Arabidopsis thaliana: one gene and its partners. The protein of the gene in region 3 interacts with the protein of the main gene of each other region in a pairwise test. Each region holds a gene or a part of one and is shown on either strand. Other genes may lie near its edges. The genes, in order: AT4G12850, AT3G24490, FRS5 and AT3G59470.

Region 1 (7,382 bases), about 10 Mb from region 3:
TATCGAGCTTCCCTGAATCCGTCTGCTTATACACAGTAACTATAATTACTTCCTAAATAAAACTCATGTAGACTAGTATGAAGAAATGACAAGAGAACCAGTTTCAAACCTTGTTTTCAGCTGAACCTCCTCCTAATGTAGGAAGACCCATATGAAGTATATACTCGGAATCAACAATACCGATATTTTTGGTTCGATCACCCTATGCCAAGCAACAACAACAATACTAAGAAAAAAACAAAACCAACAAATAAAAGAATGTACATATTAGCTTGGCTCAGTCACAATTTACCTGTGCACAATATCCAAGCTGAAAATCTATACCCCATCCATGGTTTAAGTCATTCTATAAAAGAAAAAACACAAAGTCAAGTATCCAGATGTTGATGGTCTTCATGAGTCTGTAACATAATTAGTTCAAACATATGAAATACCTGAATCATATGCCATGTACACCTCCAAGCTGCTCTGGAAAACACAGGAGCCATCATTTCAACAAATCTGTAGGAGAGAGTTTTTTTTAATGAGTTTAAGAACAAGTTATGCTTTCCACTGAAGAAGGAAATGAAGATTCAGTTCTTTTACCCTGTGCAAGGAGGTCCAGTGCTATTCTCGTTGCACCTCGCCCGACCAATGACTTTGTATGTTCTCCTTTTAAACATCAAAACGTTGTAAAAAGATTCATTCTTACAATCTCTTTTCTTCTCTTTGCTAAAATTTTTTCTATTGGAGCTTGAGAGAAGTACCTATGTACTCTTGATTTCTTGTCTCGTGAGGTAAGTTGATGATGCACTTCAGAGAAATTGGGATCAAGAGCAGGTTGTGATATTTCAAGCTTTTCTTCTTTAATAATTGAAACATACCTGAAAATTTTCATCTCATTAGATACCACATCTTTACCAAGTGACAAACAATATATTCTTTGTATAACATTGTACCTTCTAGCATCAAAATGGTCAACACCGAGATCTTCATCCCATAGAAAAATGTAAGAATAAGCTGAGACAATATCCGGGTGTAGAAAACGCTTTGCAAACCACCTAAAAGAGTCACAAACATATTCAAACTGTACAGCCAAATGTAAAAAATCCTCGTCGGGTTTTACGATTATAACAGAACAGTTACCATTTGGTTTGGTTTACTACAGAAATATGAATGGCAGTGTCACTCCACTCAAACTCCTTCCATTCATCCACAGCACCATCGTAGTGAAACAGCATCACAACAAACTCACTTGATGGAAACTGCCATATAAGAAAGTGGAAAAACAGAGATATCACATCAAAACTGTTTCATTACCGAGAAGGTAATGTCCGAGGTTTTACCTTCTTGACAATCTTGTTGACACTTTCCTTTTGTCTTATTCCAACTGCCATAGCTAATAAGCTTGGTTTCGGTTTCTAAGCAAACAAAAACAGAAAATATAGCGTTAAAGGAATGACAACAGAGAAACTTGTGAACGTTTGGCAACAGGTAAAGATACCTTATCGCGCTTTGCTCCCCATAACGGTCGCATTTCCAAGTCAGATGTACTTGCAACAATACCTCGCGGTAACGTCTCGCTACCAGGAGGCCTAAGTTGTGTCTAATTAAGCAAAGCAACATGAAAAAATGTTAAGATTCATATAGAAAGGGAACTTTGTTTTGAGCAGCTTATTCAACAGACCTTGCACATCTTTAGTTTAGCAAGATTTAGTCTAATTATCGAACTCCATCCCGCGATACCCTGTCAATTAGTACACTCAAAACTGTTCTATAACATTATTCAGATTCAAGATAATGCTTAAAAGTTGCAGTCTAAGAACTCATACCTCTTTATAGTCTACTGTAATAAAAGCATTCCCTATAAGGAAGATCATTGCAAGAAAAAACACTAAAGAGAACAAGCGACGAAGAGACAAGCCCTTTCGTTTTTGATTCATACTTAATGATCCCTGAAAAGGCAACGAATAAAGAAGATCCATAACACATTAAACTCAAATCACAAGAACCTAATCAGTATTTAAACCCAAACACACACAAAATGACATTAATAGGGAAAGTAGTATGATCTCATTGAACAACAATGCCACAATAAAGATTCAAGATTGTGAAAGACTTGAGAGTTTTAATTGTGTAAACTCATAACGATCCACAGTTTCGTAGAGAATGGGCATATAAGTAGAACATCAACACATGAAGAAGATAAAAGACTTGAAATTTCATGATTGAAAACTTCAATTGGATTCTTGAGCTAATGAAATTTCAGAACTTTTTTGGTTTATTTCGACAACTTTTGAATCCAGAAATGGCAAAATGGGAGACAAACAAAAAGAACTAAACAAGACAAGAAGAAAAGAACGAAGAGCAAGAGAAAAAAGCTTACAGAGCTCAAAATCTTGGGTTTCTTGTTCATTTTTCAAGAACAGTGGTCTAAATATAGCGAAGCTCTTTCTTTAAAATCAAATAAGTAAAGTGTAGAGTCATAGTGTTAGAATACCTTATTTTTGTCAGAATTGGTTATTTTACAAAATTATAACTACTACTTTAGTTCCTTAAAGTTAGCTTCGAATAGGAAAATAAAATAAAATTGGGTATGAAAGCAATTACTGTAAGAAGGTCAACAAGTCAACCGTTTTAAACAAAAGTGATATTTTACTAAATTCGAAATCGAAATTTGCGTGTAGGAATCGTCGCAAAAGAAGGTTTTTATGGCTTAAAATGAGTGACCAAATGTCATTAAAGGTTCGCACGTGTATTGTTTTGCTATGCATTTCTCCACTTTATATAAGTAACGTATGATGCGATGTCCATGTGACCAGCTTTTGCTTAGATTTGTTACAAGAGAAAAGATCTAAGAAAATTAGGGTGAATAATATAACAAATAATTTTCTTTTCACTCGGAAAATTATACAAATTGTTTTAGGGTCAAATTTATCTTTATAGGATAAAGTTATTCATTTACATCTACATTGAAGAAGAAAATAAAATTTGGATTAAGGTATATGAGGAGCAATGTAAGATACATTAAACCGGTTCGTAAGATACATTAAACCGGTTTAATGTTCAGAAAAATCGAACCGGATTAAGTTTTAGGAAAATAGAACCGGATTAATTTCGTGAATCAAACATACCGGATTAACAGAGCTTGATCTGAAACTTAACGAACTCGATCCATAAAGGGTTTTGTTTTGTGAGTTGGATCTGGCTTATTCCGATGATGACCGGAGATCTGAAACTTGATGAACCTTACGTAGGTTTGAAATTCGAATCAGAAGAAGAAGCTAAAGATTTCTATGTAGAATACTCCAAAAGATTAGGGTTTGTTGTGCGTATGATGCAGAGACGAAGATCAGGTATTGATGGAAGAACACTAGCGAGAAGATTAGGTTGTAACAAGCAAGGCTTTGGTCCTAATAATCAACGATCATCTAGTTCTAGTTCTAGTTCACGAGAAGGTTGCAAAGCTACGATTTTGGTGAAAATGGAGAAATCTGGGAAATGGGTTGTTACTAGATTCATCAAAGAACACAATCACTCTCTTCAATTCATTGGGTCTTCTTCTTATGATTCTTTTGTACGTTTTCAAAGTTTGTATCTTTGGGTCTTTTTGATTTGCTTTGCTATTACATGACTTGGATGCTTGAAGAAGACAGATTTGTGTTACTGTTTTTTGCATCTTTGGTTCTTGTTTGCTACTACAAGGCTTGATGTGTTGAAGAAAGAGTGTGCATCTTTGGGTCTTTTTTATTTGCTATTACATGACTTGGTTGGTTGATGAAGAGAGATTTGTGTTATTGTTTTTTGCATCTTTGAGTCGTCAAATTTTGATTCTTTGGGTCTTGTTTTGCTATTACAAGACTTCGGTGGTTGAAAAAGAGAGATTTTTGTTACTGTGTTTCTGCAGCTTTGTCTCTTGTTTTGCTATTGCAAGATTTGGTTACTTGATTTGCCATTACAAACACTTGAAATTCCTTTGTACGTCTTCATATATTGCATCTTTGGGTCATCTTGATTTGCTATTACAAAGACTTGGTTGCTTGAAGAAAGTGAGGTTTATGTTACATTTTTTTTTTTTTTTTTGCATCTTTGGGTCTTAATTTGCTATTACAAGACTTGGTTACTTGATTTTCCTTTGTACGTCTTCCAAGTTTGCATCTTTTTGGTCTTTTTGCTTTGATATTACAAGAATTGGATGATTGATGCAGAGAGATTTGTGTTACTATTTTTGTAGGCTGATAAGGAAAGGAAGATTAAAGAGCTTACGGAGGAGATCGAGTGTCAGGACCGATTATGCGATGTGTATCGGGATCGATTGGTGAGTTTTATCGATAATGTTGAACATTATACGGAAGAATTGTCACTTAAAGTTCGAGATATTGTGGAGAATGTTAAGAAACTTGAATGTCAAATACAAACAAGAGCTTGATTCATCTATAAGCATTTGTCGAAAAATACCGAAGATTGCTCCTCCTTAGATCATAGTTTGTCCTAGCATTGAACATTCAATTATTTTAGCAGAAAACTAGTGTTAATTAGGCAAATTCAAAACATACAATTATCTATACAAAAATTATTGTTAAAAAAAGGGAATGTTTAATTGGAGCTAAGAGCAGCAAATCCACCACCTCTCATCATTTGTTTGAACTCCTTAAAATTAACCATACCATCTCCATCAACATCAACCTTACTTATCATCTTCTTGCAATCTTCAAGTGTTCTCCCTTGCTTCAACCCCATTGACGCGAGCACCGACCTCAGCTCTTCATCTGTAATGAACCCATCACCATTCTGATCAAATACTCTAAAGGCTTCTCTCATGTCCTCTTCTTCCTCTTTCTCTTCCACCATTTCTTGATACAATGATCCAAACTCATCGATATCCATGGCCCCGTCTCCATTCACATCCATCTTTGCTATCATCTCATTGATTTCATTTTCAGGGACCATGATTCCCACGCTTTTAAAGAAGTCTTTCAGCTCGTTTTTCGCAATCTTCCCGTCTCCATTCTTATCGAACATTTGGAACACTCTACTCAATTCTCCACGATCCATTCTTTATTGAAACCTTGATGATCTTTAAGCCAAAAACTAATGGAGAAGAAGAATCAAGATCAACACATAGATTCTAAAAGGAAGCCTAAGCAAGTGAAATCTTGTAACAGTTTAAACAAAACAGGACGTCGTGAGAAGACAGAAAATTTTACTAAAAGAAAAGACAGATGAGAGAGAGCTTAACGGATTCTGTTGATAGATTCAACACTTTTGGATCTTTCATTTTTCAGGCTAAAAATAGTTATATATGCCTTGAAATAGACTCTATGAATCATCTAATTCTGACACAATTAAGGAGAACCCCACTAGTTTAACCATAATTACTCGCCGAGCAATGGAGACACGAAATAGTAGCATGTTGAATTACATCGAATATTCATTTGTAGGTTGATAAACAAAAGAATTAAACTATGAAATTTGTTGCAATCAACCTTCCACGTAAAATCGTAAAAAAGAGACCTTGTAAGTATCTAGCTTCCTTAACCCATTCATAAACCTTGAGTACTTTTTACATAAGTAGCCAATTGATAGGTTGGATGTAATTCTTCACAAATATACTCAAGAAAATAACACACAATAGATAAGCTAAACCAACCCTAGTTCTAACTATTAAGTTTATGATGATTCTTACAACACCTTGAGTAAAGAACACTCTTCAGATCAAGCTGAATATCAACTTCATTTTTTGATGCATGCATTGTTTACCAAGGTTAATAAGCAACAATTTTAACAAAAAAAAGGTTAATAAGCAACAACAAAAGCGTTTAATGCACCAGAAATGTTGAGAAGCATGTCTTATGGGTCTCTCTGTCCCTGATTCTAGACTCATTCTAAGTGTTTGTACACTCTCTGTCCCTGATTCTAAGGTTGCAAAAGAACAAGAATTAGCAACATCTCGATCACTTGAATTTTCCTCAAGCGTGGTCTTCACATGAATTTTTGCTCACATCTTCAAGGTCACAAGGGTTTATGTTTGACCTTTCTTCTTGCATAGTGATTATCTTTGAGTTAATATCAAATTCATGTTCCTGTTCAAAATGGGCCACTCGTATATATATATATATATAATATGTATTTAAATTGTGGATATGTTCGAATATCTGTTCGGGTTCGGATTGGGTTCGGGTTTTAGGATTTAGAAGTTTAGAACTCGTTCGGGTATTCATAAATTTTGGGTTGGTTTTGAATATGGTTTTTTGGATCGGGTTCGGATCGGGTAATCGGGTTCTGTATTATACCCACCCCTACTTCTCACTGTCAGATCTGAAAACATGAATATTCATATCAAACGTGTTACAAATTACATTATATCTTATGACATTTTAATTCAATAATAAATGGCAATAAGTGAATTGATTCACAAATCTCATCACATTTTCGTTGTGGGATTTTTTAACGTCTCTTTTAAATTATTAGATTTTTTTGGGATGAAATATGTCTGAACAATATTCAGGTTGGATTAATGTATTTTTGTGGTTTATTTTTTTGTCGAGCCTCATTGGCCATTAGTAAGTGGTGATGGCGGCAACATATTTTAACGGACTAGAACACATCCCATGTTTTGGTTCTGCTACCGTATTGAATGTTCATTCATAGACTCATAGTCCATCTAAACATATACAATGAGAAATATTTAATTGGTTCTGATAACATATACACAAACTTACAAAAACTAATTTAATGCTACTTACATATCTTACATATTTTCAACGGCTAGCTGAAATCTCCAACGGTATTCTTTTCATTTATTTATATATAAATTAGTCAATATATATAGCTTGTCAGCTAAATCCAAAGGTTGATATATGCTCGTGAGAGCTAATAATCATTCTTCAATTATCGATCTCATTTTTAAGAATTATTTTGCTACCTAAATTAAGTAGATGCACTAAAATTAGTAAAGCAAACTCATAATTGTATAGAGATTGCACATAAATTAAAATTAAAAAATAAATCACCTAAAAAGGCGTATAGACTTATAAATTTCATAGAGATAACTCACAAAAATATTTTCCTAAAGAAAGATAGAAATATTTGAAACTAATTGATGCTTTGCTCTATTTACAGGTTTTATTTTGAATCAAAACGTTGTACTTTAGTAAAAACTAATTATTATGATTAAGGAAGATTCTTGATGAAATGGAAAGTTGAGTTTATTCAATCTTAGTTTAATGAAATTTTTCACACACAAAAATAAAATAAAAATTGATGACATTAGATAAAAGGTAAAAAATAGACTCTATTAAGGTTCAAGCTAGACACCCACTTGCATATTGTCATTAATTGTTTTCCAAAACTATTAAAGTATAACAAAATATTGCAATTTGAAAAATGCATTAAGACCTACT
Region 2 (7,136 bases), on a different chromosome or scaffold from region 3:
TACCGTTTAACCGAGGGAGCTTGTCCTGAGAGCTACGGACTTCAAGTGGCACTCATGGCTGGAATACCAAACCAAGTGGTTGAAACAGCATCAGGTGCTGCTCAAGCCATGAAGAGATCAATTGGGGAAAACTTCAAGTCAAGTGAGCTAAGATCTGAGTTCTCAAGTCTGCATGAAGACTGGCTCAAGTCATTGGTGGGTATTTCTCGAGTCGCCCACAACAATGCCCCCATTGGCGAAGATGACTACGACACTTTGTTTTGCTTATGGCATGAGATCAAATCCTCTTACTGTGTTCCCAAATAAATGGCTATGACATAACACTATCTGAAGCTCGTTAAGTCTTTTGCTTCTCTGATGTTTATTCCTCTTAAAAAATGCTTATATATCAAAAAATTGTTTCCTCGATTATAACAAGATTATATATGTATCTGTCGGTTTAGCTATGGTATATAATATATGTATGTTCATGAGATTGGTCAAGAGAAATACTCACAAACAGTATATTAAGAAGGAAATATGTTTATGCATTAATTTAAGTTTCAAGATAAACTGCAAATAACCTCGACTAAAGTTGCAAAGACCAAACACAAATTACAAAACTTATAAGACTTAAGTTCTGAATTCCCTAAAACCAAAAAAAAAAACAGAACATATTTTGTTGCATCTACAAACAACACAAACCTACATAGTTTATAACTTACTCATCACTGAGATTAACATCAGAATCATTCTCCATTTCTTCATCTTCACTCTCATCATCATCACCACCACCATGATGATTCTCCTCCTCTTCACGTAACCTAGCAATCTCACTCTGAGCTCTATCAACAATCTGCTTCTTCTGCAACTCCAAATCTCTCTGAAAATCAGCTCTCATCTTCTCCAACTCCTTCATTTGCTCTTTCTTACTCTTCTCCATCTTCTCATAAACCTTCCCAAACCTCTCAACAGAATCCGCCAACATCTTATACGAAGCAGCGTCATTAACCTTCTTCCTCTCGTACTCAACCTCATCATCCTCATCCTCCTCCTCTTCAGAATCACCAGGACTATCCATCATCTCATCAAACCCATTAGACTTATCTAAATAAACCTTAGTGTTCATAAACACAAACTCACCTGAATCAACACCACAAGCTAAACCTAAATCCGACTTGGGCGAAACACAAAGCAACATATCCAACTTATTGAAAAACGACCATTTACTTGAACCTAAACCTGATTTCTCAACCTTAATCTTCTCTTTTCTATACTTCCTCTTCAAGTCATCAATCATTCTCCTACATTGCGTCTCAGATTTCTCCATCCTTAGCTCCTCACTCACTTTCTCAGCTACTTCATTCCAATCCTCGTTCCTCAAACTCCTTCTACCCAATTGCAAAAACCTATCTCCCCAAACTTCAAGCAACACAAAAGCTTCTTGCTCTCTCCAATCATACGCAACTTTAGCATCACTAGGACCAGCAAATTCAAACCCAGAAACTACTTTGTTTGGTTTCTGTCTCTTCTGAAACCTCTCATTTCCACGAATGTATCCTCCTTGTGGATCTTCCTCTTCTCCTTCGACTTCATCTTCGTCTTCTTCTTCATTGTAATACGCGTGACGCTTAGGTATTGGTCTACTATACATTGGATGGTTTTGCCGATTCAAAGAGTAAAACTTTTTTGGGTATCCTGTTTCATCTTCGCTGTCACCCATCTTTGAGCAAAACCCAGAAAAGCAAAAGAAGAGAGAAGAAAGGCAGATCTAGGGTTTCAAATCGGACAGATAGAGATTTACCTGATTTTTGCACCTAATAGAGGAATATCTTGGAGGGTTTAGCTTTGAGAAGAGATAAGTAGAAGAAATTGATGAGGTTTATAAACCATGGCCGTGTCTAGGGTTAGGGATTTGCATTTTCAGCCGGGTCGGAGTAGAAGAAAAGCTACCACCACCGGTGAACATTGCCTCAGCCAGCGACGGAGTTTTGTCGCGGCGTTTGTTGGGACCATCCACTGGGTCATATTGGGCCAGTTTGGACAGCACTAATGGGCCAAGAGGACCACAATTATTTAATTTTAACCGATAGCCCAAGAGTTCCCAACTAAAACTAACGATCATTAAGAAAAGGAGAGTCTAAACTCTAACGAATATCAGCTTTGGTGTCGGTTAACTTATGACTTATGGGGTCAATTTCTGACATTTAGGGTCATAATATTTTGACCTTTAGCGTCATATTGGCTCAAAGGATTTGAAGCTGTCGATTTTTGGTGGGTTCGAAGATCTGCGAATGCAGTTACTGATCGACTAGCTAAAATGGGTGCCATTGAAACAATATGTTATTTTGATTCTCTGCTTTATATTCTTAAATATGCTACGTATGCTTTTAATTAATCTGAATAAGTTCAAAAATTAAAAAGGGCTAAGTTTTATTTTTCATATCACGGTGTTATTACTGAACTTGCAAGAGTTTAAGCTGCAAGAATATGAATTGCATAAGCATCTACTATGGGAGCCTCGGTTGTGGGAAATCTCCATGTGTCACATTATGATTCATACGTTTTTGAAAAATGTGAAAGTGTATCCCAACGATAATTCATTTAATACACTATGTAACGTATAATTTTTTAAATTATTAATGATGAAATCTTGTTTGAAGATGATAGTATTAAATTAAGTGGACTAAAATAGAGAAATGCCAGAACTCTTTATTTAATAATTGTTTGTTTCTGTGTTTTAATATAAATAAATGAATGTTATGCTTATTGCCAATGAAAATGTCGACCACGCTTCAATGTTGGTGAGTAATTATTATGCATCAAAAAGGAAGTAAGTATAACCTTAATGGAAATGATCATGGTAGTGATAAGGATCATAAATAATCGCAACGAATTTTGTTGCATCAATGCATCATACTATTGAATAACTAACACTAGTCTCGTACAATTTGATTTTAGGTGTTTAAATCTCGTTAGTGTAAATATAACGAGATAAACATTTACAATACAAAAAAAAAATTGAATTGTGTGACCTTGTAAGAACAGATTTTCGAAAAAAATTAAGAGTTGAGTCATTGATATGAAGAAGCTTCCAAGACAATGATATATGAATTGGTTAGAAACAAGAATTAATATTAATCATAACTCTTAAGTAACTCGGTCATTCCCACATTGACATAAGTAAAAAATAAATTTTAAAAGATTTGATACTTGAGTTTGGTATTCCTGCTAAGTAAAAAAAGAAGAAAAAGATTTGATACTTGAGTTGAGTTGGCATTGTGGACTTTAATTTCGTTTGAATCTCATTAACATGTTAGGCTTAATTATAATTAAACCTAGACGATTGACCTGTTTTGTGGGTAGATGTACCAATATATTTCAATGATTATAAAGGTTTAGTTTTGATCTCTAAATTTTCAATTTTTTTTAACAGTTTCATTTATAAAAAAAATTAATACAATTTTTTTATAAGAAAAACAGTATAGTTTAAAACAAGCTTTAAAAATTTCAAGTCTCAAATCAAATAAATAGAGATTGTTTTTTATGAGACAGTAAACACTACAACATCAACTTTCTTATAAAATATAACAAATTGTTTTACAAAATTCAGTAGGTAGAGTCAGACAGGTATGTATTCGTATAATTTTAACTTTTCAGATTTTTTTCATTAATGTAACTCATAAAACGTTTAAATAGATTAAACAGTGACATCTCATAATTACCTAATACTGATAAAGCAACAAACAATTTTAAGGTAATAATATAGTATTTTTATAAAACGGTTGAGCTAAATATTTGAGATACATACTCATTGTTCTTTAGTATCCAGTACTACTATTTACACAATCAACAAGAACAACAAAATTGTGATATATATTACAGTTCCTCCACATGAAAATAATAAAGTGAAGTAACGGTCCTAGGCTCCTAAACGGATATCTTGGGAGAGAGATGTGAACAAACTTGAAAATTCGTATGAAAGATTTTTGATAAGCCAATCATATTACATGTCACAAGATATCGATGAAGTGAAAATAAAAATGAAATTAGTATTTTATGGTTGGAAGGTCGCGTCGAGAACATAAGTGTAACGGAGAGAGAGAGTCAATGAGTGATCATAAAACCGTTACGAAGTTTCTCAAGTCTTTGACAACAATCTCTTTCAAACGCGTTATGAGTGGTTACGTTCGCTCACTCCAATGCCAACTATGTTGCTTTCACCAATTTTTTGTCTTTTGTCTTTACTTTGAGGCTTTGAGCATTTATTTCTTAATCTTTTATTTATTTTTATTTATTGATTTGACAAATATATAGTCCAAAAGTATCTTCGGTGATTTTTTTGGTAAGGGGATTCCTACGAAAGCAGGATGCTCTATTGCCAATAATATATATAGTTTAGTTAATTAATGAGGAAGTTTTTGGTCTAGTGTTAAAGATAAAATGTTTGCCAAAAAGTTGTAAAGCACTTTGATTTACATGAGATTCCAAATAGAAAAGACTTATTGGATGGAGAAGAAAAGAGAAATTGGTTATAAAGGATTTGATATTTAACCAAAATAAAAATTAAAAAACAAATTTGATGGGACACTGACTTGGTCTCTTGGTTAGAAGAAAAGAGATTTTGGATGGTCTGGTTGCTAGTAGATGATCTCAACCATAGTGGTCTGCTTCACCTCACTGGTCAAATGTTCATCTAAGCACTAAGATTTTGTATTTCTCTACGCAAGAACTTTTATTCTGTGTGAGCTTCCAGATTCATTAGTACTGGAAGGTAAAAGTAACTCTGATACATACTCAACTAGAGAATGAAGTTCACATATCTATAGAAGGATAGAAAATACAACTAATAGCAAATGATCATATACTCTAAGAAATAATTTCTTACCTCATAAGAAGATATGACAACCTTGTCATCTTCACAATTGCATGATATTTTCATAGTACATAATGTTACATACAATTATCAAAAATAGACTATAGAGTCTTTATTTTTTAAAAAAATCGCCAAATTTATAAAATTGTATGATTAGTTGGTGAAAAAAACAGAGATGGCTAGAGTGTATGAGAAACATAATGAAATGAATAATGAATTAACAAGTAACACTTGATGCACACACAAAAAAAAGAAAAAAAATCAAGGAACACTATTTTTTTGTCAATCATAATGCATTACAAATATAGAAAAGGTTTGTGGTGTATCATCCATTACAAGAACCCGATAATCCTAGAGATACAATAGCGTTATAGTAAATGTACATGAATATTTTGCTAATTGATCCGTCATTTACCATCGAATCTTCTAGGGTTTTTGAATTCTTGTGCATGGTTCTCATGAATCACATCTAGTCTATTAAGGAACATTATCTTCCTTATAATTACATTAACAAGACTAAGCATATAATAACAAAATACTTAATTTTATTTTATTCATTTTCTTTAAATTGAAAATGGCAGAAATAAAGATGTTGCATTGTTGGCTCAACAAGAGAAACTCGATAACCTATATTCAAATGTACAAATTATGTTTAAATAGTAATTAAAAGCATTTGGGTTCTTAAGATAATGAATGAATGTTCACACAGTATTTAGCGCACAATCAAGTGGACAAAAGACGTTGAAGACTTCATGGGAAACTTACCATGCGACCTACCTAGTTATTATAACTTCTTTCACTTGGCCTCCTCATATAGACGAAGCCGGTAACAGATGAAAATGTTGATCACCTCGTTCTATTATTTAAATCAAAAATTCATGACAAAATTTAACCGCATAGCATTGTTGATTTAACAAGAGAAGTGATAACCTAGATTCAAATGTATAATTTAGGTTTTAAGAGTAATTAGAAGCACTTGGTTTTTAAGAAAGTGAATGTTTGAGTATTAAAAATAGCAGTTGGTTTAAAATTTAAAAAGAATAAAACAGTACCAATCGTTAGATCATTATAGTTTTACTAGCATATTAAGAAGTGTTGCGAGATTTGTGATGAGAAAAATAGTGGTTACTTTCATATAAGCTCAGGTGAGAAATCTATATGTTTCTCCACGGAAAAGAATACTATGCATATTATGCATAATTTCCAAATTTATATACAATACGTACAAATCTAATAAAATAATCAAAAATATGTATATGTTTGCATGGTTCACTCTAGATCCTCCATACTAAGCTCCTTCATCAATCATCAACGGCTGATTTTTAGTGCAACACTTTCACCTTTTTCAATATTTTACACTGTAACAAGATCTGAATACTTGTATAATTCCTTCATATGGAGACACGATCTCGTGAATTAGTGAAGTTTGCATTATTTATGGGACCTTTTGGCCCACAAGAAAAAGTGTCAGGATACAAAACTTGTGTGTATAGGACGAGTTATACATACTTCTTAAACTAGTTTGAATGTTTAATATACGTCTCGACTCACTCTAGATGACTTCAATTCCTTCACATTGTTTTTCAACATAAAAAACATATGACTTCTTAAAAATACAAATTCAAATACTCTATTGTAATTCGGTTCTTACAATTCTTTTTGGCTATTGGCGAAATGTGCTCCTTTTGGCACGAATCATTAACATAACTTTATTTAAAAACTTCATAACGAATGTTTTACATGATGATGTACCATGGATACCAAGTAAATTTGAACAGAAGTGATTATGCAAAAGTAAAAAGCATATGGTTATTTTTCTACATATTTGTTTCGTTAAAGTAATATACTATTAAATTCGACTATCCAAAAATCGACACATGTCGGCGACCTAAAAGCCTCGAACATCCCGCTGGTCTATGAGAACATTACCTGATGTGTCAAAACGTCCCCACACGGTGTGCTTCATTGCGGCAATAACTAAGAAAAAGCTCCAAAAGCAAACTTAATTAGACAACTAATCTTTTGATTACTAAAGCGATTCGTTTGGTCCTCCTTCTAATGATTTTTATAAAACCTGGTAGTTAGGCTGTTAGGTGTCGCGAAATTCTTATAATTTATTATAAACCTTAATGGAGTCGGTTATCAAATTATTTGTATCCATGCTTTATAATAGTGTATGGGTTTGTAGAATGAATAAAAGATTCGAAAATGTATGGGTTTTATAATAGTGTTTTGGGTTTTTAAAACAGTGTTATACTTCTACATATCTTTTATGAAATCA
Region 3 (8,531 bases):
ATTACACCTACTTTGGTGATACCCTAGTCTTTGACACCACCTATAGGAGGGGTAAGAGGTATCAAGTGCCATTTGCTGCCTTCACCGGGTTCAACCATCATGGGCAGCCTGTTCTTTTTGGTTGTGCTCTCATACTCAACGAGTCTGAGTCCTCCTTTGCGTGGCTTTTCCAAACTTGGCTTCAAGCAATGTCTGCTCCCCCTCCTCCTTCTATTACAGTTGAACCAGATCGCCTGATACAGGTTGCTGTTTCTCGAGTTTTCAGTCAAACCCGCCTTCGTTTCAGCCAGCCCCTCATCTTCGAGGAAACTGAGGAGAAACTTGCTCACGTCTTTCAGGCTCATCCTACCTTTGAATCCGAATTTATAAATTGCGTTACTGAGACAGAAACGGCTGCCGAGTTTGAGGCATCTTGGGACTCTATCGTCAGGAGATATTATATGGAGGATAACGACTGGCTCCAGTCCATTTATAATGCTAGACAACAGTGGGTCCGTGTTTTCATCCGAGACACCTTTTATGGAGAGCTGTCTACAAATGAAGGAAGCAGCATTTTGAACTCATTCTTCCAAGGGTTTGTGGATGCATCAACTACAATGCAAATGCTCATAAAACAGTATGAGAAAGCAATTGATAGTTGGCGTGAGAAAGAACTGAAAGCAGATTACGAAGCAACTAACTCTACTCCAGTTATGAAGACGCCCTCTCCCATGGAAAAGCAAGCTGCTAGCCTCTATACAAGGGCAGCATTCATCAAGTTTCAGGAGGAGTTTGTTGAGACCCTTGCAATTCCTGCAAATATAATTAGTGATTCAGGAACTCACACTACTTATCGTGTCGCTAAGTTCGGAGAAGTTCACAAAGGTCATACTGTCAGTTTTGACTCTCTTGAGGTGAAAGCTAATTGCAGCTGTCAAATGTTTGAGTATTCAGGGATTATATGTAGACACATATTGGCGGTGTTCAGTGCCAAAAATGTTCTTGCTCTTCCATCTCGGTATCTACTGAGGCGATGGACCAAAGAAGCAAAGATTAGAGGCACTGAGGAACAACCTGAGTTTTCAAATGGCTGTCAAGAATCTTTAAATCTCTGCTTCAACAGTCTACGCCAAGAAGCAACCAAGTATGTCGAGGAAGGTGCCAAATCTATTCAGATCTATAAAGTTGCAATGGATGCTTTGGATGAAGCTGCCAAGAAGGTTGCTGCTGCAAGTAACAGAACACCTGGAACTAGGCTTCCCAATGGGGAAGCTTACCCGTCCGAGGAAGCTCGAGAAACAGCAAATGCAACGAATCATCCAGGGGTAAGCGAATACTGGTATTTGATAATTCTTTAACATTGATGTCCTCTGTTCCTTGGGAATAAGTACTTACTTCAATGCCAGGGTGAAAAAGAGAGGACGATACTTGAACTGACAGCTGAGTTGGAGAGGACAGGCCAGCGATGTGAAGTTTATCGAGCAAACCTGCTGTCTATTTTGAGAGATATGGAAGAACAGAAGTTTCAGCTATCCCTCAAGGTACAAAATGCTAGACTAAGCTTGAAAGAGTGAGTGCAATCTGCTGGATACATAACATCACAATTCAACTCACGTACTGTGGTTGGTAACTTGGTATGCAAACATTTATGGGAATCAACTTCATGCTCTTACTCAGTAAGGAAATGATTGGGAGTACAATCTATTACAAAGGCTACCTACTGTAAGAACAGGGAAATCCTGAAAATTGGGTCCCTCTTTCAAAAACCCTATAAGAGATATAGTACATGAGCAATATGTTATAGATGAGAATAGCAGTCGGAATTTGTTGCTTGTTTCACAGATTATCCTTCAAGCTAATTTTGATGTTCTGCACTTTGATGGACACTTGTAACTTTTGGTCTTCCATTTCTTTCAAAACTGAAAGTAGGTTAGTCCTGTAAGCTTCGCATTTCCTGTTTGCTAATTCCAGCTCGTTTCTGAGCTGATTAATCTTCTTGTCCATTTCGTCCTGCGAAAGTAGAGGAAATACGGTCATGCAATTAGTCAGCAGTAAAAGCACATAGCAAAATTGAGGACCTTGCAGATTGTACGGAACAAAGGCTCACAATGGCAAAATGAAGACCATACTCTTAACATGCATATGTGAATCACGAGCTCATTAGTCAAACGTTAACAGAGCAATCAGCATTATGGTACCGTCAAGGAGACAAAGCAATGATTGTATTGTATGGGGCAAACCCGCACAAACGATACTTCAAACGTATATAACTATTTTTTAGAGCAACAAATTTGATTGCTATTATATCAAAAAGAAAACAAGTATCGAAAAGAAAATGATCCTCACCTCGGGCTCAGGTTGCGCCAGCACTTCTTGCTGATGTTTTCCACCAGTTACAGAACTCGCTTTAAAATGCCTGTTCGCCATAGTTCTTCTAACTTCCTTATTCATTGCCAGGGACACAGTCTTGGCAGCTTCTTGCAGAGCAACAACTGCGACATCACAAGTATACAGAGATTTTCCAGCTTCTTGCACAAAATTAGAAGCTTTGTGACGTAAGGTGTTGTATCGGACGGTATGAGACTCCAGGTAATTAGCATACGCATGCAAATTATAATCATCAAATATAACACTGCTTTTGGCATTTCTGGTCCATCTTTTTAGGATGTAGTAAGGTGGAAGTGTAAGGAGATTGGTGACCCGGAAGACTGCCAATATATGTCTGCAAATGATGCCAGAGAACTCAAACATCTGGCAACTGCAATTTGCTCTCATCTCCAAAACGTTGAACTTAACGAAATGAGCCTTGTGAGCCTCTCCATATTTCGCAACCTGGTAGGTAACAAGATCCCCATCATCGTCAGCTTTGGATGCCATGAAAGTCAGGGTTCCAACTAGTTCTTCCTGAAATCTCATAAACAACTTCCTTGTGTAAAGTTCAGACGCCTGCTTCTCCATTGGAGATGGAGTCTTCAGAACAGGAGGTGAGTTCATTGTGTCATAATCTGCTTTAACTTCTTTCTCGAGACGACTCTCCAAAGCTTTTTCATACAGCTTAAAGAACTGGCTTAGATTGGTTGAAGCGTTTATATAACCATCAAAATATGAATTGATACTATCACTACGATGAGTTAAGGACATGTCGGCAAAAAAGGTATCACGGAGATATACTGGGACCCACTGCCGGCGATCGGAGTATATTGCTTGTAGCCACTCATGATCTCTTAGCTCATACTTGTCAAGAAGTGAAAACCAGCATCTCTCAAAATCCTCAACCGACTCTGTCAGATTGACACATTTGTGGAAATCTGACTCAAACGAAGGATGCTTGAGGAAGACATGCGACAGCTTCTCCTGACATTTCTTTAAAATATGCCATTTGCAAAAGCGATGGCGGGCACCAGGAAAAACGTGCATGATGGCTGCACGTATAACAGCATCATGATCGGTGGTGATTGAGACAGGAGGGTGGGCGGACATTGCGGCTAGCCACGTATTGAAAAGCCATACAAATGAAGCCTCAGTTTCATTGATGATAAAGGCACAGCCGAAAAGAATGGGTTGGCCATGGTGATTTACACCAGTGAAGGGTGCGAAAGGCAAACGGTACCTGTTGGACCTGTAGGTTGTATCAAATGTAACGGTGTCTCCAAAGTGAGTGAAATCCATTATAGCTTTAGGATCAGCCCAGAAGACATTACCAACAGACTGATCTTCGCTTCCCTGAACAGAATAAAAGAAGTTTGGGTTGTCAGCATTCATCTGCCTCAAGTAGTCAAGAAGAAGCTGAATCTCTCCTTCTATGCTCTTCTGGCGGTTGTTCCTCATATAATTCCTACAGTCCACTTCGGTGAAACCAACCTTGCTGATGCCACCATACTCTTTGATGAGGGCGGACATGATTCTGCGGGGACCCATTCCTGCAGCTTGAAGTGTGTCAATCAAAGTCTTGGCAGGGCCAGAGATTTGCCTGTGGGAACGCAGACAGTGAACTTGGTCGGGAGGAACAAGCTCATGGTTGTGGTCTTTGACAAAGCCAGAGACAAGCCATTTACCGGAATCCTGCATCTTAACAGAGAGGGAGGCTTTGCAACCGACTCGAGTGATGGTCCTGGGACGCTTGATCTCCCTGTCCTTGGTGCGCTTTTCATTCATATTTCTGAAACCTTCTTTGGCACAGACAAATTGCCTCTGGATGATAGCTCCATCACGGCGGGAGCGGCGGGAGGAACTGACACGGGTACTAAAGCCAATGCGACGGGCATACGAGTTGTAGAATGCCTTGGCAGCTTCTTCGGACTCGAATTCAAGACCATCATAGGGCTCGAGATCCAGGAGATCACAAGCCTCCTCCTCCTGGTTGGGAAAGTAATTTCCAGAATTGCCAACAAGACCATTACCGCAAGGCATAATTGGGCTGTCGAGCATATCATCGTCGTCGAGAGCATGGTGCTCAATATCAATAGCGTCGTCATCAACATCTCCGCCACTACTAACTCCTACACCAATATCGAAGTCGAGCACTTCATTATCCATCATATCCTCCTTGTCTTCAGGGATGAATTCTATCTATCTATTGTCCACAACAGGATGAAATAGCTAGCTACTGTAGATAGAACCACTTACAGTCGTGATTTGATTTCAAGTCTGAGATTGAGATTGGGAGGCAGCGAAGACGAGGGAATGCGCGTTCGTGCGCGGGAGAAACCAGAAAAGAAGAGATAAGGGAACTTGTAATTGATTACGTTATAATAACCGAAGAATGAAAAGGAAGATGAGAGACGACGGAGGAGGGAGACTGGGAATAGAGTCGTCGGAGGGCACGGAGGAGGAAGACAGACGGTGCTTCTAATTCTCTTTTTTTAATTTAAGCAAGGCCCATTCCTTCTTCATTTATTTTATAAGGCCCATTCCTTCTTCATTTATAATTTTATAAGGCCCACTCCCTCTTCATTTACTTTATAAGGCCCATCCTCTTTTACGCTTACCGTATGGTTCACTATCAGTTGCGAGTGGAGGAGAGGAAAAATTGACTTTTAAAGACGAAATGATTGATACAAAGGCTGATTTATACAGTCATGACATCTCAATCCAGATATACATGTAGTTATCTGAAAATTTACTACCAGGAACAAAAACAAAAACAAAAAGAAACAAAGATAGTATACGTATTAATTTCTTGTGATTAGTCTACAAAACTCTCAAGTCGCCTATATGAATGCTTTTTTAATTACGGGAATTGAAAACCACCGCCTCCAACACCCTCTGCAGCAGCTGCAGGTCCGGTGTTTGGGTTTATGGCCGTCCACAGTAGAGAGATGGTGATGGCAATGAGACCTGCCCACACAAAAACTATGGTTGGAGTTTTGCCTCTTCGTCCCATCAATCCTTTTGCAAATGGATACAAATGCGCCAACACCCAGAAGCTGAAAAATGCTCCTCCGATTAGCTTGCTCCATTGTGGCACCGCTTGGTATATTGTCCTGATGAACGCCACCACAATCGCTATTATGTTCACCATTGCTATCACTATAGGCGGTATCATCAGCGACGACCATTTCACTATGTACAAATCCGCGTATATGTCTTCATTGTCATCTCCCCCTGACTTGGTCGTCAAGGTAAAGGAGATCTCGATCCCTGCAATCACTTTGAGGACTCCTTGGACCACTGCGTAAAGGTGAGAGCTTGTTCCTGAGATGAGCCACCACTGTTCGTTTCTCCACCATTCTTCCAGCCCAATGCCAGACCACTTGACCTCCAAAACCGCCAATCCAATCAAACAAATGGTGATCATAAGAAGGTAGACCAAGAAGGAGATACTGAGCGTCCGCACGATGAACTGTCCAGAGAAAAGAGAGAATGCCGGAAGAAAACAATAGAGGATGAGAAACAGAGACGTGAAAGGGTATATCCCAACATTGAGGTATGCGAGACGTTGGAGGAACTTGAGACGTTTGGAGGCGAGAATGGCGTTGTTTCTAGAGAAGAAGATCTCAACAGACCCAGTGGCCCACCGCAACACCTGGTGAAGACGATCCGTGAGATTAATGGGTGCAGAGCCTCGAAAAGAATCTCGCTTAGTTATGCAGTAAACCGAGCGCCACCCACGATTATGCATGCGGTATCCTGTGACCACGTCCTCTGTCACCGACCCATAAATCCATCCAACTCTATCTCCCCACTCCGTTTTATCCTCATACCAACAAGAGATTACAGAAACAGACTCTGCGACAGTGGTAGCATCAAGTGGGTCACGAGGGACTCTAAGGGCTCCGGGAGGACGACCGTACTTGACAGCCGGGTGGTCTGCCAATGGACGACCTTGGAACTCTGCAATTGGAATTGACTCAGCTAGGAGTGTGGAGTTCCCAAAGCGCTTGGGGAGTTGTGTGACATCAAGGTCCGGGTCAAAGTCACTGGTGGTTAGAGCCTCTGTTTCTGATTCCTTCTTCTCAAGAAGCTTGTCAGGGTTGGGTGGATCAAAACCATAGAGAGCAAAGCGCCTAAACATAGTACCTGTTCCAACATAAACTGGTCCCTGGAAAAGAAAAACAGAGAATCATTTATTTTTTGGTAAAGGATCTTTATATATATATCTGTCTATAGTTGGTTTGCATTGCATCAAAAATAAGTATATATACAGTACCTGGACACCGTCGAGAGCACGCATATTACCGTCAAAAAATACAGTGTTATTGTTAGCATATCTATCAGAAGGATCGATGCCTTCGAATCTTTGCGGAAACTGAATGTAGCAAATGTCTTCACCACCTCTGTCCATCATAAAACACATCCCTTCTCGTACGGCCTTACAGTTATAGATGTAATGATCACAATCAAGATTAAGGATAAAAGGTCCATTTGAGAGGATAGCAGAGGCACGAACAAGTGCATTCATGGCTCCAGCTTTCTTGTTGTGATCATATCCAGGCCGCTTCTCACGTGACACATACACAAACATGGGTAAACGAGTGTCCGTGTCTGAAAAATCAATGACTTTATCGTCGCTATTTCCAATTAATGGATCGCTGCTAGGTGGTTTCAACATCACCTGGAGAATCCCAGCATGATCACCTTTGGAATGCTCTCGAGTAGAGGCTGCCCAAGTTCCTGGCCAGTGGGTGCCATCTGCCATCCACGTGGCTTTGGGGACTTTCACAGGCTCTGTTGGATCACCTCCGCTCTCCCTCATCTGTTTTAGAGCTTTCATTTCCTCCCTTGCATTAAATGCATCTGACCTCCTCCGTATTGAGTCAGGGAGGCCGTTGATGCGAACCTTGAATTCATCATACTCCCTCTTAATCTTTCTTCTGTCCTTGACAAAATCAATTCTGCTCTTATTCTTTGTTGGATCTATCTTCAAACTGAAATACGAGTCTGGATTTCGAGGCTCAATGTTATGTTTGCGACAAAAAGGTACCCAGAGATCCGCAAAGCTAGCAGCTTCTGCCATAGCTTCAAAGGATAGAAGAGCTCCTCCATCATCAGAAAGATAGCATGACACCTTCTCCACCGGATAATCAACGGCCAATATGGACAGAATCGTGTTGGCGGTGACAAGGGGCGGCTCTTTCTCTGGATCTGCCGTTGACACAAAAAGGTCAATACCTGGGAGATCCGACCTCCCTGTTGGGTTGGAGGGAGAAGGCATGTCAAATTTGTCACGAAGAACTTCCAGGTCAGTGGACCGGTTTATTGGACACAACTTAGGGATCTGGTCTAGAATCCATGAAAATCCAAACCAAAGCTCGCATATTATAGACATGAGCCATAACCATATTGCGTCTTCGTTAGGATTTCGGATCCTCCAAGTTAGAAAAAAACATAGCACGACAAAACGAATGACGATTAGTAATCTGTAAGGACTAATGATGGCGGCTGGAATAGGGATTCGTCGGCTCAGTGGCCGCCATGGCTTGTCAGCTGTTTCCACCATGCCGCCTCTCATCCCTTCATCCATATCATCGCCATACATTTCGTCTTGAGGCCAATACGCATTACCGTACCCATATGTGCCTTGCGTCTCGAATAGCCATCTGTTGTGATCAAATTCACCGTTTTGGTTCCTCTTCATCATAGACATGTTGTTGTTGTTCCCACGTTGATCTTTCCCTGGAGCTGGTAAGGGGAGAGCACCACTAGAATAGTCAGGCGTATCGTCATCTAGGTCCCCGATTTTGTATTGTTCCTTGCATCCTGGACAAAGGCCTGTCTCTTTCTGGGCGTCCATGAAGCAATCCCTACAGATCTTAAACCTACAAAGACAATCATCACCACGTTTGTTGGTTAGTTAGAATTAAACCTCATTTTCTTGTGCAACAAGTAAAAGATATCAATTAGTGTTTATTAATATATACCGGCATTCACATGGCATCACGTCCTTTCCTCTCTCGTCTTTCATGACATTTCCGTCGCAAGCAGGCATGGCACACGAAGAGCCTTTAGCGCCAGCCATCTGAGGGTGTGTGACATCTGAATCGATCACTTTGTCCATAAGATGTGCACGTGTTACACTGTTGAAACCACCAGTAAATAAAGAATTTGACACG
Region 4 (7,075 bases), on a different chromosome or scaffold from region 3:
AATAAGATTAGTTAATCAAGTCTTTCCTTGTCTTTTTTTAATCGTATAAGTTGTTGCTCTAATTGGCCTTCATTATATTTATGAACCATCTCTCCCACATTCCACGTTTTTCTTGCTTTTTGGAATTACTATTTCACTCTTTCAAATTCGATACTTTGTACTTGCTTTTATTTAAAGAAATAAAAAAGTAGTCTACTTCTATTTAAAGAAACAAAAAAAAAGTAGTCTAAACTAGAGAAAACGGCATGTACGCGTTAATTATGCATACATCCTTGGCCCTTGGGACTATTCTTGTGATTTCACTTCATAATTAACTGTCACACAAACATGGCCAAGATGGTATCAAGAAGGGAAAAGATGGTATCTACTATCTAGAACTCTCAGGCGTCCATTCTCGTGTTTGTGAGTTTATTAAAGGGTGTGGTCCCCGACTCTTTCAAATGTATTTATAACAAGTTTAATTAGTTCACATGTCGCGATTGTTATGACGACACAAGAAATTATCGTTTTCCCTTTATAACGTTGTCGTTACGAACTTCCTTAAATCCCCCAAAAAAAGTTTTGTTTCCTAATTATCCTATAATTAGTTGATGATGTTAGGGTTTGAAAACTTAATATAGCGAAGAAAAACGGTTTACTATACTTAATTATGAGCGTATTTTCTTTACGTTTGCCACTTTCTTTCTTTGCATGGACATTCACTAAGAGCGTGTGTTTGTGTTTCAGGTGATTCTTCGCTGTGTTAGACGTGGACTACTTCTACCGGTGTTCAACAATCTGGTAAGCTTGTCTTTTGGGAGTACGAACAAAAGAGGTTGGAAACTGCTGCCACTTCTGATTGAGCAGTCTCCAAAGCTTGAAACTCTAATCATCCAGGTACGTATCATTAGCTAATATATCTAAAGAGAGTCAGAGATTAGGGACTTAGTGGTTGAGCCTTTACATCCATCTTCTTGATGCTTTTCCAGGGGCTGGATAGAGTTACACAGGCGATGTGACCATGCCTCCGTTCCAAGTGAAGATGCTGCATGTTCATGGTTATGGAGGAAATGCGGAAGAGGTGGAACGCTTACATAAATTTATTGGGGAGTCGGAATGCGGTGAAGTGGTGCTAGGCTGCGGAAGCTGTGGTGGATAATACCATGTATTGCAAACCAAAAGGGTTCTATAGTCTATAGTTGAGGCTTCCTGGATTTTCGGTTTCATCCAAATGCAAGATCTCATGTAGTTTACCAAATTATTCTGTGTAACAATTCATGTACATGTCGCATTGCTCTTGCAGTTGCAAGGGCCTCTTTAATTTCAGGGAGCTATTTTTCTGTATCTTTTGGCAGTCTCTCCCTTAGATGATACACGAGTAACCTTACCTACCTCGTCAAACTCCACCTGGCATAAGATTAACATTTCTGTATTTGATGACTACATCGTCCCTACAATGCAATTTCACACTTCTTTCCACTCTTGCAGACTTTACACAATATGTGGTCCATTAGCTTGGATTTTCAGTTTCATCCAAGTGCAACATCTTAGACGATGAAAGGTGGTGATTAACAAGCTGATTTGATTCTTCACTTTCTGATTTGTGATCTTAAATAGAGTTTTAGGATTCTTCCAATCTGTAGTATATATAGCTTACTAGTTTTTACCAGCAGAAAGATCTTCAGGAGAATGCCGATTTAATTAGAGCGTAAAAAGTAAAAACCCTTCACTTTATGTGCACTAACCTATGGCTATGCATCATCCGAACGAAACCAATGTCAGAACAGAAGAAGAAGAAGAATAAACAAAACTTTCTTTAAGGCAATTGAAGCTCTTTTGTTTTCGACAAGAAAAATCTTTATTAAAGAGAGAAAATGGGGGAAGAGAAGATCTATCTCCTAAATCAAAGTGCTGAAAAACCAGAGACCAAAAGACTATACTTGGTGGTTCTGTTGATGATCTCTCTGTTCCAGATTCCTCACATTGTCTACTATGTGTTGGATTCTCTTAGAAAGGCTTTCGTTGTGCTGTTCGATCTGTTCAAATAGCATCTCCAGATGTCTTTTGTAAGTAGCCGCTCTCTTTTTCTCTGCTGCTAGCTGCTGCATCAGTTCCTGAATTTTGTCGTGTTCGTTCTGCAAATGAGGAGAGCAAAGTTTTAGAATTTAAGTCTTTTCTAGTAACAACTGATATATAAGCAAAATCAAAACACCAGCACATGAATATGAATATGCTATATAGCAACTAGTCACGAACCAGTATCACATCAGCATATATATATATATTAACCAGCTAACCAAGAAACGCCAATTTGGATTTTCAAATGCAATGGCTGAATATAAAGAAATATTGACCAACGAAAGAGAGTAACAACTAACCGGATATTGATCATAAATGCAACCCCTTCGAACTCTGCCAGGCATCAAAGAGTGATTGTGCTCCTTGACAAACTTTGTGATAACCCATTTACCAGAGTTCTCTTTTCTAATCAAGATCATTGCTTTACATCCAACCCTTGTTTCCGCTCTTTGTCTAATAACCTTATCCCGCTTGCTAGGCAACCTGTAACCTTCCTTGTTACAAACAAGTTGCCTGCCTATGGGAGATCCATCATGCCTTGACCGTGACAGTTTACTAACACGGATGACGAACCCTACTTTAGTAGCATACGCATTATAAAAACCATGAGCCGCTGCTTCAGATTCGAACTCCTGGCCAACGTAAGGCTCATCTCCTTGAGCCTCTGTCATATCTGCAACAGCCAGAGGAATAGAATCAAGATCCACCTTCTCATCTTGCTCACCAGAATTTTCACCGAGTTCATTATGGTTGTCATCATCTTGCTCAATCATTGCTTGACCAGAGCTTTCACCCATTTCATTATGATTCTCAACCGTGGTAACCTCAAGCTCAACAGGAATCCCCATCATCATCCCAGCAGCTACTCCATTATCAATCCTGAAATCCACTGCAACTCAAAAAAAGGGAAAACAGCAATTCCACTAATCAAATATCTAGCAAGAAGAGCTACAAGTGTTCATCATCTTACTAATACAAAGTTGTCATCTTTTCTATTCCACTGTCTAATTCAAGATATGAGAACAAAGCTCAAGTACAAGTGCTCTCAAAATCATCCAGCCTCCACCAACAATACAAAACAAACTTAAAATGGAACCATTCTTTGGGATTCACCGTCCCATAGATTCAAGAGTCATCAACAAATCGGGGTTTCCAAAAGTATCGAGATGTCCAACTTCTCAGTCTCATTCTTTCGCAGGGACTAGTCTAAGTGGCTTAATCGATCAATCCAAAATCGAAAATTAAAAACCCGAAATAATGGTGTAAGGAATAAAACAATCTTACTGGTCAAAAGATATTTTCCGGCAGATGTAGGTCGGAGACGACGATCGAATTAGGTTTTCGATTTGGGGGAGAGACAGAGAAGGTGCCGGTTCAGGGTATGGATTGCAGAGGACGCAGTACCCTATGACGTGGCGATAGATGATTGGGTCAAAATCGGAAAGAAGTCAACTCACCGTTCATCTAAGCTTTGGGTTTATCGACTTATGGTTCCTCCGGTGCGCTTCGCCTCGTATGATTATTCCTCATGTTCTTTTTTTTTCTTTCATTACATGTTTATTTTATTTTATTTTTTACAGCGTAATTCTCGCCGACCGACGCACCCGTTAGACCGGTGTGTCCATGACTTTTAATAAATGTTAAAATTGACCCCTTTATTATCCTTCATTTACATAATCATCCTTGTACTAACAAAATTTCTCTAATTTCTAGCATTCATTTTGTTCGTGTCAACCAGGCCAATTCAGCCGGTTTAATTAACTTTCTTTAAAATGCTATTGATAACCAGCTAATGATGGTTTAGTATACGATTTGACTACCAAACTACATTAGCTAAGTTTTTTTAATCATAGAAATTTTGAATAGCAAAAAACTTATTACATAGTAATATATTCAGTTACTTATATTTCATGATTTAGCTTATATCACTGTTATCATCGAAACCTATCCAGATAGTTTTAGGCATGACCACGGTTACGGTTATTACGGTTACGGTTTATTAACCACCGTATATGATTATAACTTTTTTTAACCTTAACATTAACCGTTATATATACGGTTAAAACGGTTACGGTTAAATACGGTTATGGTTAGATACGGTTACGGTTATTTGATAATTATGATATAATTAATATATGAGACAAAATATTATATTAATCTTTATAATAAAATAAATAAATAAATAGTGATATATCAAATAATAATTATTTTACGTGATTATGTGTTTCAAATATTTATAGCGAATCAGCTATCTATTTTTTTTAAATAAACCAATGAATATACAAATTAATGGTTATAATTATAATGATTTAATTAATTATATTTTTCAAACAAAAACAATAATAAAGAAAAGATGTTATGAGCACTAAGAAACAGTTTTTAGAGTATAAATAATAATAATATGAACTACTTATGATTTGATTTATGGTAAAAAGAGTAGTGGAGTAACTTCGATCGTATTAGTGGGCATATTAAACGATTTAAGTTACTATTTTAGTAAAATAATTATTTATTTAGAATTATACACAGTTACAACTATATTTTTAAGGTTTTAATAATACGGTTAACCGCGCGGTTAAACGTACGGTTAACCAACGGTTTTGATACGGTTACGGTTATTATATTTTTTTAACCGTAATGAATCTATTTTCACGGTTAACAGTTACGGTTATTAACCGTTTTATACGGTTACGGTTGGGTTACGGTTAATAAACGGTCCGATTACGGTCCGAAATACAGTTACAGTTAGATTTTGGTCATGCCTAGATAATTCGCAACTCTAGATTTTTATAGACATTATAAATCATCCACATATATATGAATCAGTAATCCAAAAAAAAAGATCTGTAACATATGGTTTTCTTTCGTTGCGTTTTAAAATATCCATTTTATTTAGCATTTATTAAAAATTCTCTTCACTTTTTTTTTTTTTTTTGGAAATCAATAAATCGCTTTAATTACGTGGAATAAAACGTCTAAGAAGAAGGATAGTCGTTAGTTAGTAGTGATAACTGATGCATAAAATATAACTTGGGAAATAGGAAACCAAATAGTGTTGGTACTTGGTAGATAGTCTCTGATAAATAAAAAGATCATACATGTCAAAGCTAGCCCCGTTTATAAAATTTGTAACAGATTTGCATTTCTCGATTTAGTAGATTTACATGAGATAATATCTTGTGTAATCGGAAATAAAAGTTATCCTAACAAATGAGATAATCGAAATTAGAGGAGGATATTAACATATTTATCCAACAACGGATATAAGCCCCTCGTAATTAACCTTGCGAAATTAAATTATAACAAATCATTCATTAATACATTTCGATTTTGGTAGATTTGCCTAAAAAATTATCCATGAATGGTATTTTATTGAAAAAGAAAGTTATCCAAAACAAACAAAATATTCGGAGTCAAAAGAGGAGGATTAATAGTATCTTTTACTCCCCTTAATAGTACTATCTTAACAACGGATAAGCCCCTAATAAATTAACCTTGTGAAATACGTCGTCTAGGTCCCATTGAAGAAGCATAAAATCTGGTCAAAAACATTAATCACTATTTACTCTAAATCTCACCAAATCATAACATATATGTAAACAACCAATAGAATATTACGATTAAAAAATAAGTTACCAAACACAGTTTAGATATCTTATCTGATCAATCTTTAAATGGATAAATTTGAATTTGTATTAATTAAAAGTCTTGTGGATTTGACTAAACCACTCACCCTAATACCTCTATATAAACCCTTGATTCTCTCTAATACCTCTCATTATATCCAAAACATAATCTCTCTCTATCTCTCTCTATTTTGCTCAATCTTAATCGTCCGATCAAAACACTCCGACTAAAAATGGCTGCATCTAACGGCGAGAAAAGCTTGATCGTGAGCTTCGGTGAAATGCTCATCGATTTCGTCCCAACCGTCTCCGGTGTATCCCTCGCCGATGCTCCTGGCTTCATCAAAGCCCCCGGTGGTGCACCTGCCAACGTTGCCATCGCCATTTCCCGTCTAGGCGGTCGTGCCGCTTTCGTTGGAAAACTCGGTGACGACGAGTTCGGTCACATGCTCGCCGGAATCTTGAAACAGAACGGTGTCTCTGCTGAAGGTATCAATTTCGACACTGGAGCCAGGACTGCACTTGCGTTCGTGACACTAAGATCTGATGGAGAACGTGAGTTCATGTTCTACCGGAACCCTAGTGCCGATATGCTCCTCCGTCCCGACGAGCTCAATCTTGATGTCATCAGATCTGTACGTTATTTTTATTTTTAATTAATATATGACACGTAGGCAAATTCTTTTTTGGGTCCGTGTCTCACATTTAATTAGCGAACGGTGCTACATCATTAACGTAACGGTTGTTGGTATACGTAACGTAGATGTCAAGTTAGGTTAATGAGTGCTCTGTTTTGTTTTTGTTTTACACAGGCTAAGGTGTTCCACTACGGATCCATAAGCTTGATCGTTGAGCCATGTCGATCTGCTCACTTGAAAGCCATGGAGGTGGCTAAGGAAGCTGGTGCGTTGCTTTCATATGATCCGAACTTGAGGCTTCCTTTGTGGCCCTCGAAGGAGGAGGCTCAGAAGCAGATTCTTAGCATCTGGGACAAAGCTGAAGTGATCAAAGTCAGCGATGAAGAGCTTATGTTCTTGACTGGATCTGATAAGGTTGATGATGAGACTGCTTTGTCTCTGTGGCACTCTAATCTGAAACTTCTCTTGGTCACTCTAGGTGAAAAGGGTTGTAGATACTACACCAAGGTAATGGTTTTCGAAGAGTTTTTCTTTCTTGTGGATTTGACTTTACCATTAATGTTACTTAAGTTGTGTTCTTGTATGTATATGATTACAGAGCTTCCGTGGATCTGTTGATCCCTTCCATGTGGATGCAGTAGATACAACTGGTGCTGGTGATTCATTTGTTGGTGCATTGCTTTGCAAGATTGTTGATGACCGTGCTGTGCTTGAGGTATATACCAAATAATTCATCAAATCATTCTGCAAGTT

Evidence for each region.
Region 1: the proteins of FRS5 (region 3) and AT4G12850 interact in a two-hybrid assay, tested with the Arabidopsis thaliana proteins (one large-scale study listed by BioGRID).
Region 2: the proteins of FRS5 (region 3) and AT3G24490 interact in a two-hybrid assay, tested with the Arabidopsis thaliana proteins (one large-scale study listed by BioGRID).
Region 4: the proteins of FRS5 (region 3) and AT3G59470 interact in a two-hybrid assay, tested with the Arabidopsis thaliana proteins (one large-scale study listed by BioGRID).

What each region holds. Positions count from the first base shown.
Region 1 is NC_003075.7:7,533,869-7,541,250, forward strand, and holds AT4G12850 (Far-red impaired responsive (FAR1) family protein), read left to right. Parts: upstream 1-3,105; 5' UTR 3,106-3,196; coding exon 3,197-3,556; coding exon of another isoform or gene 3,557-3,613; exon of another isoform or gene 3,614-4,213; coding exon 4,214-4,408; 3' UTR 4,409-4,575; coding exon of another isoform or gene 4,576-5,034; 3' UTR 5,035-5,180; downstream 5,181-7,382. Other genes in the region: AT4G12840 (GTPase Der (DUF707)), read right to left, coding at 1-22, 110-202, 293-346, 435-501, 586-651, 747-863, 939-1,040, 1,126-1,244 and 5 more; UNE14 (EF hand calcium-binding protein family), read right to left, coding at 4,576-5,034.
Region 2 is NC_003074.8:8,905,588-8,912,723, reverse strand, and holds AT3G24490 (Alcohol dehydrogenase transcription factor Myb/SANT-like family protein), read right to left. Parts: upstream 2,303-7,136; 5' UTR 1,703-2,302; coding exon 701-1,702; 3' UTR 501-700; downstream 1-500. Other genes in the region: MSH7 (MUTS homolog 7), read left to right, coding at 1-306.
Region 3 is NC_003075.7:17,904,887-17,913,417, forward strand, and holds FRS5 (FAR1-related sequence 5), read right to left. Parts: upstream 4,858-8,531; 5' UTR 4,519-4,857; coding exon 2,326-4,518; intron 1,990-2,325; coding exon 1,816-1,989; 3' UTR 1,628-1,815; downstream 1-1,627. Other genes in the region: FRS9 (FAR1-related sequence 9), read left to right, coding at 1-1,304, 1,386-1,553; CSLD4 (cellulose synthase like D4), read right to left, coding at 5,210-6,520, 6,629-8,237, 8,340-8,531. UniProt on the Arabidopsis thaliana protein: Putative transcription activator involved in regulating light control of development.
Region 4 is NC_003074.8:21,977,186-21,984,260, forward strand, and holds AT3G59470 (Far-red impaired responsive (FAR1) family protein), read right to left. Parts: upstream 3,655-7,075; 5' UTR 3,344-3,654; coding exon 3,343-3,343; exon of another isoform or gene 2,948-3,342; coding exon 2,358-2,947; intron 2,115-2,357; coding exon 1,914-2,114; 3' UTR 1,625-1,913; downstream 1-1,624. Other genes in the region: AT3G59460 (F-box/LRR protein), read left to right, coding at 328-339, 727-876, 969-998; AT3G59480 (pfkB-like carbohydrate kinase family protein), read left to right, coding at 5,918-6,319, 6,497-6,829, 6,921-7,037.